Drosophila melanogaster: one gene and its partner. Changing the gene in region 2 together with the main gene of any one other region gives a genetic interaction. Each region holds a gene or a part of one and is shown on either strand. Other genes may lie near its edges.

Region 1 (5,642 bases), on a different chromosome or scaffold from region 2:
TTGGCATCTAAACGATATGAACCACCCTCTCCCAATTGCGAAACGCTAAGGAATTTGACCAAACTGGCACCTATTTCTTTGTCAGTCTGCTTCTAATTCTGGCCCCACCGACATATTGCTATCTCTATCGCTGCAATTCCCAATTTCTTTGGATATACATATATCACTCTCTCTTTTTCAGCGGCTGTTGAACTTTAAAATTGATCCGATTTTATTCGCATCTTCCATGAATTTCGCCTCACTTGAGAATGTATTAAATTTAGAAGCAGACGAGCCAGATTAGAATGAGGAAGAGAAGAAGAAGAAGACGAGCAGGGGGCCAACAAAAAGCGTTGGGGGGGCGGGGGGGCGGTGGTTGTTGGTCTGAAAGGCGGGACAGACGCTTCATTCATGCCACGCGCATCTTGCGCTGTCGACATTTAAAATAGACGCCAAACACGCAACCTCGGCGTTCAACTACAGAGAAGCCTCCGCAATCATTGCCGCTTACATTCTGAACAATTTATAATCGCACTTGTGGAGCATTCCCTGTACTTTGTACAATGTTGCAATGGAGTTGGCATAAAGAAAACTTGGGAATTTATCATCGGATATATGAATGAAAGACACAGACACAGGAACTGTGGCGGAGTGCTAGCTAAGTTATTGGTTTTTAATTGATCTTGGTTGCTTAGAAGAATCTCGACTATTGTAGAGAAGAGATCTTAAATAGGAATAGTATAGGAATAATATCCTCATTCTATCCTCTTATCAATATCAATATAATCAATATATTGAGTTCGTTACGGAACTATAGCAAGGTAACATTTTTCGAGGACCCGTTTCAATATCCTGACAGAAAAGGATACTTACACTTTCAATGGGACGCAAGTGCACTGCTTATTCTCGAGATTTGGATAGGATGTCTGTTGAAATTGCTTGAGATAAAGGTGCCTGATTCTTGCTCCAGAGATCTCAGTCCTTTGCAGGCTCTTGATTCAATTAAGTTGCCAATTGTGTGGGTTCAACATCAAGATTTCAGGCTTTAGAATTGGAAAGTGAGGTCGGTGAATTTTTCTCGAGAGGATCGATATTCTCTGGGCTACAATATTCCAATTGATCGGAATTCTCCAGATTATAAATATCTCTACCTAGTACGTAGTTTAAACAAAATTGTCTGGTCTTTCGCCTTTCCTTTGGCCTTTCTTAGATTCCTTTTTTTTTGGCTTTAATATGGGTGTGTTGCCTGTTGTTTTCCGGTGTCTTGTCTTGTTATGGACTGTGTGAGTGTATATTTTTGATTTTGGGTAAATTTTTGATTTTTTTTTTATATTGAGCGAGAAAAAATTTGAAACTGAATAGTGGGAAAAGTGAAATTTGTATGGGGCTTTTAGACATTTGCGATTGACAGCAAAGCCAATGGTGTGTGTGATTTGGGATATTCAATAATGGGTTATATTTGCAATACTACAATACTTTCTACATAACCTATTACCGTCCATAGCCTAAAGCATTAAAAGAAAATTATAGTTAATCCCTAAGAAATCTAGTTTTTATGCAATCTATAGCTAGTTTTCAAATGCCATAAGAATTACTTGGAATCAAAATCTAGCATCCTTAATGAGTTCGCAATTGATTTTTCCATTGATTGATTTAGACAGGAAGTAACATTTTCTTTTTGGGCTTGTTTTCGCTGTCGTTGTGGATTTTATTTTATTGGGTTTCGTTATTGATTTTTGTGTAGGTGACAACTCTGTGTGTGGGTTGCCGTGGGTGGGCGTTGGATTGTGTGGGTGCGAGCGAGACGGCAGCAGATGCGTGAGTGAGTGCGTACAAAGCAAGGCTGGAAAAACACTCCCTCCTATTCCCACTCCCTTACTCTCTCTCTCCCTCACCTTCTCTCTCTATGGCTTGGTTGGTATCTCCTTTCTCTTTCTTACACTTACACTTTGGTGTATTTGGTAAACCTCAAGAATTCTCGTCGAATTTTTGTTTGTTATTTTATGATGATTTTTCACTTTTCTTTGCGCTTTTCCTTTGGCTTTTCACTGGTTTTTATCTTTTTTTTTCTTTTTTTTTGTGCTTTGTCACTTTTTGCTCATACAAGAAAAAACAACAAAAATCACAAATGGCGGCGCCGTTTGAATCCGTATCCGTATCTGAATCTGAATCTGAATCTGAATCCAAAACACTAATATCTCGATAGCTGTTCGGCGTGAGCTATTGACTATTAACTATTTAACTGCGAACTGTGAGCTGAGAGTCGAGAGTCGAACGAACTGACGCAACGGCGACGAGTGAACTGCCTGCCTGCCGGATATACGGATCCCAATTTCCAAGGTGTCTGCTCAGCGCCCGATGAAAATGCGAGGAAAACTCTGTTCAGCTCTGCTCTGCTCTCAGGACCTCTGCCGCGGCGCTGTAGCAGCGGCGTTGGCGTTGGCGTCGCATTTTCCCACCCATCCAAAACAGTGAAAGTTGTAAACCAAAATGGCTGACCCTGCTCCTTGGCATATTTGTATCTGTATCTGTGTCTGTACTCGTATCTGTATCTGTGTGCAAGCGTCTATACACATTATCCGCTTTAAAGGGCAGCAGCCGGCTTACACCACACTCACTCTAAAAAGTCGGCGACCACTATAAATGATCTAAGGTTAAGAAATCGAATAAGCTAACTATTAATTTATGCCAGTATACATTGCCAAATGTATTATTAAGTTACTATAGGTAATCAAAATATATTTAACATACATTTTAGGCCTTGCTTAGATACGTTACATATTTATATAGCTAACTTCTAATTTCATTTCTATTCCGATTTAATGATCGATGATTTCTGTTGATCTGTTCTATTTCATCTGGTGATCACTGTGCCAGCTGTTGGACCTGTACTTTGCACTGCTGGTCGCCCTATGCAAAAGGTTTTCCCGACCCAAAAAGGAAAAACATCGAAAAACGCAACGGATAAACGAATATTTTCCATCTGATTGGCTTGGACCGGCTAGCTGTTGGCAGCGCTGTCGACGCTGACGCTGACGTTGACGTCGACGCAGCTGCGACGGGGGTGAGTGTGAAATGTGAAAAGCGAAAACTCATAGTACCAAGCGGAAAACTCGGGGAAAAACTCTGAAAACAAGGGTGGCCCGAGCAGAGACGCCAGCGTTTTTCCCGCTCTCTCTTCGCTCATCGCTCTTCTCTCCACTTTTCTCTCTTCTCCGCTCCTCTTCGCTCTCCTTTGCGCCCTTTTATCGCCCCGTCTGTTTTGTCTACTGGCTCGTGAAAATGTCAGGAAAATTCAAACTGCCACAGCTGCTTGACAAAAGGCAAGACTATAATTTTAAGACATGAGGAAAACAAGAGAACGGAAAATGTCTTTCGGGGAAATTGTGAATTCGATTCCACTCACGATTGCCACTTGTGAGCCAAGTTATTGGCATTTGTAAATTGCGATTATGCATAGATATCAATAAAGCTATTATTTTGGCTTATAATAGAATTATATAAATTATTTTCTTTTCCCAATCCCATTGTTTAGATTGCATATATTAATTGTGGCACTTTTCGACTCCAGAAAGTATGCAATGCATTTTACGACTTGCGTTGCGGCTTCTTTGTTACTATGGCCTTTATAATCATAAGTTTGTTTTCGAACGACGAGTTAGAGAGTGTAGTATTCAATTGTTATGATAGTGTTATGAAAGATACATTTCTATAAACAGTACTTGATACCTCAACGGGATTTTCCAACTAGATTGGACGCAATGAGGTTAACACGAGGGAAGTGAGCTGCGAATAGCGATTCCGGGGACTTGGAAAAGTCTGCAGCTCACAATCGTGTTTCGATCTAAGACTGTGCCTTCTCCATCTCTGTTTCCCTCACTCCTGCCATCTCCCTCTCTCGCTGACCTTGCTGCCAACGAAATTTCTACTTCCTGCTCTCCTACATTTTCCCGTTCCTCTTTTTTGTCGATGCTTCCTTCCTTCGTTCAGCTAAATCTGATGCGCACCCCAGAGCAGCAACAAACATAAAATATATATAAGTATGTACATATATATCCGACTGTTACCAACCCAACTCAGCCCACACACACACACACACACACACACAGAGAGTCTACACCCATACCATATCGCACGCACACACTAAGCGATTGCGTCCCGTTTTCGAATTTCGAGCGAAACTTGCGTAGTTTTTCAACCCCAAAATACGGGACAAGGACAAGGTCGAGGATGTGGCCCTACGCCCCTGGACATGGGTGCACAATGGCAGTGGTTCCAGGCCCATGCCCATGCACTTTCCATCCAAGATCTCAATGCTGAGCTGCAACTTTAAGCTTAAACTAGAAGATTACGGAGTGCAGAAGTAAGGCGAACGAACTGTTAAGTTCTTTAACTTCAAGCCATATTTGTTAAGATACAACAATCATTTAGATAGATCTTTCAAGGATATACATCTTTCTACCTCTGACTATCTATATTAGCATATACTTAGGGATCTATTTTGTAGTACCATTGTATAGATATAGCTCTGATGGCAGACTTGAAGAATTCTTTCAATGCATTGATGGAATACTTTAGTTGTCCCGTACATTTCTAGGAGGCTGTTGAACCCCTGAAAATCTCATAATTTGCTTGCCACCACCACCATCGCTGTTGCTGAATGTGCGCTGTGTGGTTGCGATGCGTTGCTGCGTTCCTGCGTCTGTCAGGAATGTTTACAGCCGGCTGGCTGTGAGTTCTGAACTCTCAGTCTGGGCTCTAGCCCTAGCCTAGTCCAAAAAAAAGGGACGAGGATACGAGCTGGGAGGGTTTAACGCTAATGGTAAAGGGAAAGGCGCAGGGAAAGGGAATGGAAATGGGAAAGGAAGAGCCACCACCCACCCCCAGCGGCAACTGCGACGCATTTTTGTGTGTGCGTCCTGTGCGTTGCCATGCTGCGATTTTCCATTTCGATTTGGGATGGTTGGGATCGCATTGGCTTGGATTCTATGGTATTTAGTGCACAGTAAATGAAAATGGTCGAGTGTCGCGACTATTAGATACCTTCTAAGCAGGAAATGAAGCGATTTTGAGATGGGGCTAAACAAGCAGATCATCATTCTCTTTTTTAATACTTTTCGAATGTTTCTAAGAAACCCAATTTTCATTTGTAATATAATCACAAACATCATTTAAAATTACATTCAATTATTTTCGCGAGTGCGTTGGCACGGGAATGGTTTGGCATGGAAGGGGTTGGGGGAGAGAACGTTCCAGTCCGCTGTCTTCCAGCTTTTGGGTGGTGGTGTCCCGTTACGCGCTTGCCACTCTTGCCATCTCTGTTGCACCCACGCCACACGTCGAGGATCGAATTTGGCTGCGTTCCGTTGACTTCGCCCCTTGCTTTATTTACTTTTTTATTATTATTATTTCATTAGATTGCAACCCTTGTGTGTCTCTCTATTCTGGCATCACCCCCCCCCCCCCCCTTCCACCCCTCTCCACACATTGTCCCGTCGTGGGACAAGGACGAACGCCAGTGGAAGGTGGCTGGGTGCTGCGTGCTGCGTGGTGGGGGTTGGTTGAAAGTTGAAAGTCAGTGCGTACTTTGAAATCTTAACGGAACTTGCTTGTTTATTGCGTCCAACGCAAATTTTGCCTGGCGCTGACGTCATCGCAATTGA
Region 2 (5,661 bases):
GCATCTGTGCTGCAGTTTTTTGCAATTGCACAAGAAACGCGCTCTGATTACCGTAGAACTGGAATGATTGGTCATTGTCTGCATTGGTTCCTTCTGGGAATGGATTTTTGTGAGCCTTATTTATGACCAAAAGGTGTTGCAACTGCAACATAATGTCGCTAATGCTTGTCCCATTCCGACACACCCGCATTCGATTATTTATGTTTTTAGAGTCACACATTTACGGGACTTCCTTAAATAATAAAAGAATCGTTAAATGTTTATTGGCAAATCTTACAACTACTGAATTGTATCAGTGAACATTTCTGAACTAATATCTATTAGAACATGGCTATTAACAAATTGAATCCAAATACCCACTCACCTTGCCTTGATAACCATACGTGCCTAAGCTAAAATATCCACCCATATCTTGGATTTATTCCTCATACCTGTTCAAACTAAAGTATTATCACCGCGCGGGTCTAATCAAATAGTCAGATAAACCTCGACGGGTTCTCGGTTTAGAGCATGCTTCGGTGGTAATCCAATCCAATCAGGACCTGAACTACCGTCTGCCAGTCAATCAGGAAGGACTCGATAAGCAGCCGTCGCTACGTTTATCACCTGCACTCCACGGTCCTCTGGTGTCCTTTGGTATCCTTTAGGGACTCAGGACGCATGCGCCGCCATCAGTTCGGCAAAATGCTGGAAAAGGATTGCAGAAATGTAAACGTGAAGCGATGTCGGTGTCAGCTAATTAAATATTTGCATTGGCAAAAGGTGCAAAACGCCGAGCGATATGGATTGAAATTGATGGAATGCTATTAATGGGGGCGGGTTAGAAGGAAGTCCCCGAAAAGGAAAGTGTATGACAAATCGGTTCCCTGTTTGCACATGCCAAAGGTGTTTTCTCCGAGAATTCGATATTGCTATTGTTGTGATTTCTGTTTTTCGAGAGGGTTGGCGGAAATTGTCACAAAATATGAACAGGGGCAGACCCCAAAATGCGGATGTTTGGTTTCCTGTTAATTATTGTACATTTTGAAGGCACATAGAAACTGTAGAAGGAAAGATTACATTTTTTTAATGCGTTTCGATGAATGCTGTTACTACCTAAAATGTTTTCTATAACTTTTGGTTACAAATTTTTAAATTTTTTTATTCACATCTGTCTGTATTTGAGCCCAAATATTAGTGATAGAATTTAAATTGAATATTTCTATACAGTTTCCTTCTGTGAGAATTTCTTTCAAAATTGTTAAAAATAATAAAGACCATATAAATTTCTTTTCGTGAGTTTTATTTTATAAAAATATTTAATTCTTCTCTTTAAGCTAGGAATAATCTTAACAACAGTTGGCTTAACAGTACTGAGAATACATAAATAAGGGTATATTATAATTAAATGAATAGATTTGGTAAAATGCTGCGTGTGACAATGAGGCAATATACATGAACTTAAACTTAGAATACTATAGCTGAAATAAATATAGTAATAGTAGCACCAAAACCGAATCGACTTAGTACAAACTTATAATAGGTATTGTCTGTTTGTTTGGTCTTCGCCAGCGGAATGTGAGTTTGCTTAGGTAATTGTGTCCTGCTAAGGGATTCATATGTCGAGAATCCTACGCAATAGTGATGGTGCAGTTGGAGCTGGAGTGCTTGTTCAGGAGCGACATCCTGGAGAAAGATTTGTGGCACACCTGGCAGGCGTACTTCTTGACGTCCACGTGGGTCTGCTGATGAGCTCGCAGGTTCGAGCGGTCGGCAAAGGATCGTGGGCAGTCGGGGCACTGGAAAGGCTTCTCTCCAGTGTGGGTGCGGATGTGTCCCTGGAGCAGCCAGGGTCGAGAGAAGGCCTTGCCGCAAATGGGGCACTTGCAGGGCAGAGTGTGGGTGCGGATGTGCATCTTCAGGGCTCCAATGGTGGTGTACAGCTTTCCACACTCCTCGCAGGAGTGGGTCTTCTTCTCCTGATTACACTCGGCTGCCGGGCAGTGGAACTGACGGTGCTTGGACAGGCCCATCGAGGTGGAGTACATCTTCTGGCACTCGTCGCACTTGAAGCGGTAGTTTTTGGCATGATTGGCGGCAACACTCGCCGACGAGGCACTCATGGCCGGAGTGTAGGAGTATCCCGATGAGCTGCTTACACTGGCACCGCTGCTGCTGGACTTGGCCTCATCGAAAAGGTGGAACAGAGCCGGCAGTGGGATGTCATTTCGCACTGAAAGATCCTCTGGCTCGGAACCGGTTTCCAGATCGGATCCGGGGCTGGAGGGCGGCGTCATCTGCTGGTAGCTGTAGACCGACTGGGGCGAGGCCATCGAGCTGGCTGGCGAGGGGAAGGCGGCCAGATGGGGCTGATAGCTGCTCCACAGGGCAGAGATCGGATTGCAACCGGCGGCCATCACAAAGGCGGACTGGAAGGGATTAATCGTGGTGGGGGTGGCGGTGGTATATCCCGTTGTTCCTGCCGTTAGTCCACGCATATGGATTTCGGTGGGCAGGTAATCCTGGGCCTCCACTGGCGGCGACAGCAGGCAGGAGTTGGAGCTAGAGCTGGAGTTCCTTTCCGGTGTTTTTGAAAGGTTCAGCACATAGTCACGTTTCGGTTCCGGCTGCTGATAATCCTGGGTCTCCTCGTCGCGACCCCGTTTCAGGGATAGATCCTGCGGCTGATCCTGGGCAAACTGTGAGTCCTTGGTCAGGGCCAAGGCCTCCGTTTGTGGCAGACGCTCCTCCACGAAGACAATGGGGCGCTTCTTTAGCGGGCAGCTTTTGTAGTTGGCGGCCATTTTTGATGTGTGTGTGATTAAGTTTTAGTTTCCGGTACTGATCGAGATGGGTAAATCGGGAGATCGGCGATCGAGAGGCGAGTTATATAGTTCGGGATCGAGTATAGAGCGGTGGTTGCGTTCTCAACGAGAGCTGAGGTGGCTGTGACAGGTCAACAGTCGAGCACGCTCTTTTATACCCGGAACTCTGCGCCTCTGCCGACGCCGCTGTCGCCATTTGGTGGTGGTTCTTCTTCAAAACAGAAAAACACTCGCACGTGTGCGTCGCTACCTAGCAACAACAACAGCACTTTTCCCATACCCTTATTGCGTATTTCCCTCACTTCCCTCTACCTGCTCTCTCACTCTCTCTCTCTCTCTCTTCCTCCATTTCCCACCTCTCTCTCGGAAGAGCAGACGCAGGCGCACCCTCCCAGGAATAAGGATCCCCCGTATAAGTTATGACAGATCTGGTGGCTCTCCAATTTCCCGATACGCTCACAACCCACCCGTAATAACTCGTGCAGGTCCGGGTCCGAAATGCAAGTTACAATATCGCCTCCCTACCTATGGATCACCCTAAGTAATTTTCTATTTTTAAGCACGAGTCAAATAGGACTCCTAGTACTCTTCGTTCATGGGGTGGTTTCCTCACTTAGATTGAGTGCTTCAAGTACATCTGCCGATGCTCTAAATTCGGTTTTTGGTGGGGAGTTGAACCTGAGCGATACGCACTGACAAAAATGACACCTTCGCAGAGAGGTGTTCCAAAAATAGCACTGATAATGAGCCGAATTCCGAGACACCAAGTGTCAACTCTGGGGTGCACTCTACGCTGACTTATGGATCATCTCCAGTGGCTCATTGGCAGCGATCGATGAGAGCTAGGAAAACATAGCTCAGGGCATAGGAGATGTCATTAAAAACTTGACAAGGAATAGACGAAGAGTGTCAAGTCTCCTGTGAGCTTGGATCGAAGAGATCTCCTGTTCCCACGATTGGTCCGTGAAAGAATGACGATTCGAATACGAGTTACACATTTTAACTAATCCCATGGTCATCTTATTAGTATGTGAAGTTCTGCTGTCTTAAAATCAATTCGATTGATAACGTAAAAAAAATCATACTGCCCCTCAGCATCCAGCTGAGTCCTGGACGATTCCCACAATTCTCGCTTTCCAACTCCCCTGATCTTTGACTCCTTGCCTCATCGCGCACACACAACTTTCCCAGCTAGCACCTCCAGACTTTCAAGCCACCCCTCCAACTATCGATGGGAAACTTTCCCAACTCCCACTCCCGCATGGAGGCTGACATGCAGACTTTGTACCCGGAAAAACAGACAAGCCCGCATAGCCAAGTCCGATTTTCCGCGTCGTCAAAAAAAAAAAACCAGGCGCGGTGGTAAAATTGGAAAAAATCCATAGCAAACCCAAAAGTTTTGATAAACCCAAGAGGTGACAAAAAATTCCAGCGCGGAATTCCAATTCCCCGCGATCCTGCAACCAATGGCGTGAGGGAAGATGGGAAATGTCGAGCCAATAACCCAGCCGCATTTCCATTTCGTATTTCCCTGCAATGGATTTTCCTTCGACGAATGTCCGGATGTGGATCAGCGAAGGATTTAAAGTAATTTCCCATCTTATCCAATTACGCAGTCAGCGAAACTCAAGCAAAACAAGCCACGACGAGTGGAAAAACTGGCTGGGGGTTTTCTATATGTCCTCACATCCTACCTGGTGGGTCATCCCGGATATCTCGGTTATTACGTGTGTTATTCCGCGCAATGATCGCCATGTCACATCCATGCACATATCTACCTAATGATCACTACGATGAAGTCCTCGGCCGCGGAATTGCCCGATGAGCACCGCGGATAACCCGGCCAAGTCCTCATTGATGTCGCGGGAAAATCCGCACTTGTCGAACCCATATATCCGTTGAAGTACCTGACTTGCAAAAATTCCTGGTCGGGTTGGCCCGCTCATTAGTATTAGGTAGATTGGCGGCCAGTGTTTTCCGCTTCATTCATTACTTCATTATTTTGGGGAAAACCCTTTCGGGGGTTAAATACTTTTTCCCCGACTCGCTCGGGATTTCTGCAGGTGCTGGGATGAAGTTCGATTTTCCATAGACATTGTTGTTGTTCTTGTCAATTTTTGCTGAGAATAGGACCGTCCCATTTTTGCACCTTGTTCCCTGGCTCATTTGTTCAAGTTGACAATGAAGAGGGAACACAGGGATCTACAGAGCTCGACTGACATTGTTCGAAGAGGAGCCATGCGAAATAGTAAATCCGAGTCACAAAACAGAACTAGGTCGACAACCAGTGCAAAAAGGAGACATTATGAACGATGATCGAAATGTATTTTAAGAACAACACATTGAACTTTGTAATTTTATTCATAATTAATGTTACGGAGCTTGTAAAAAATGTTTTTCGTTTTGTTCTTCTTATTAAATATTCGCATAAAACACTCAGAAAAATCATATCACATTTTCGCCCAAGGATAACTGTAACTGTTTTTTCAGCTTCCTAGACTGTGTTTCTCTAACCAAAACCCCCACTCCTTCACAGGCCATCACAGCCTAACAGTATATCCAGGTCACCTGGCCTGGTGAACCTTTTGCAAAAACGAAGATATAAAGAGGAGAGAGAAAAAGAAAGGAACGAACATTAGGGATACCACCAAGGAAAACAAACTATGGCCCAAGATATACGATGTGTGATGTCGTTGACAATGAATTGTTGATTACTATACTACCCCCAGGTCAGGCTCTCCTTTTTTTGGCACGGAACAAAGGAGCTGCGATCCATAAATCGAAGATCGGAGAAGCAGGGAAAATCACTGCCACGGGCTGTATGTGTGTGCATGTGGACCGGGTGCATTGCACAATC

Evidence for each region.
Region 1: of sna (region 2) and Imp, changing one enhances a phenotype caused by changing the other (phenotypic enhancement), as found in Drosophila melanogaster (one study listed by BioGRID).

Annotation. Positions count from the first base shown.
Region 1 is NC_004354.4:10,820,467-10,826,108, forward strand, and holds the start of Imp (IGF-II mRNA-binding protein), read right to left. Parts: upstream 3,812-5,642; 5' UTR 3,709-3,811; intron 2,321-3,708; exon of another isoform or gene 1,926-2,320; intron 1,352-1,925; exon of another isoform or gene 853-1,351; intron 1-852.
Region 2 is NT_033779.5:15,475,325-15,480,985, forward strand, and holds sna (snail), read right to left. Parts: upstream 2,937-5,661; 5' UTR 2,784-2,936; coding exon 1,611-2,783; 3' UTR 1,269-1,610; downstream 1-1,268. UniProt on the Drosophila melanogaster protein: Essential for the correct specification of ventral-dorsal patterns.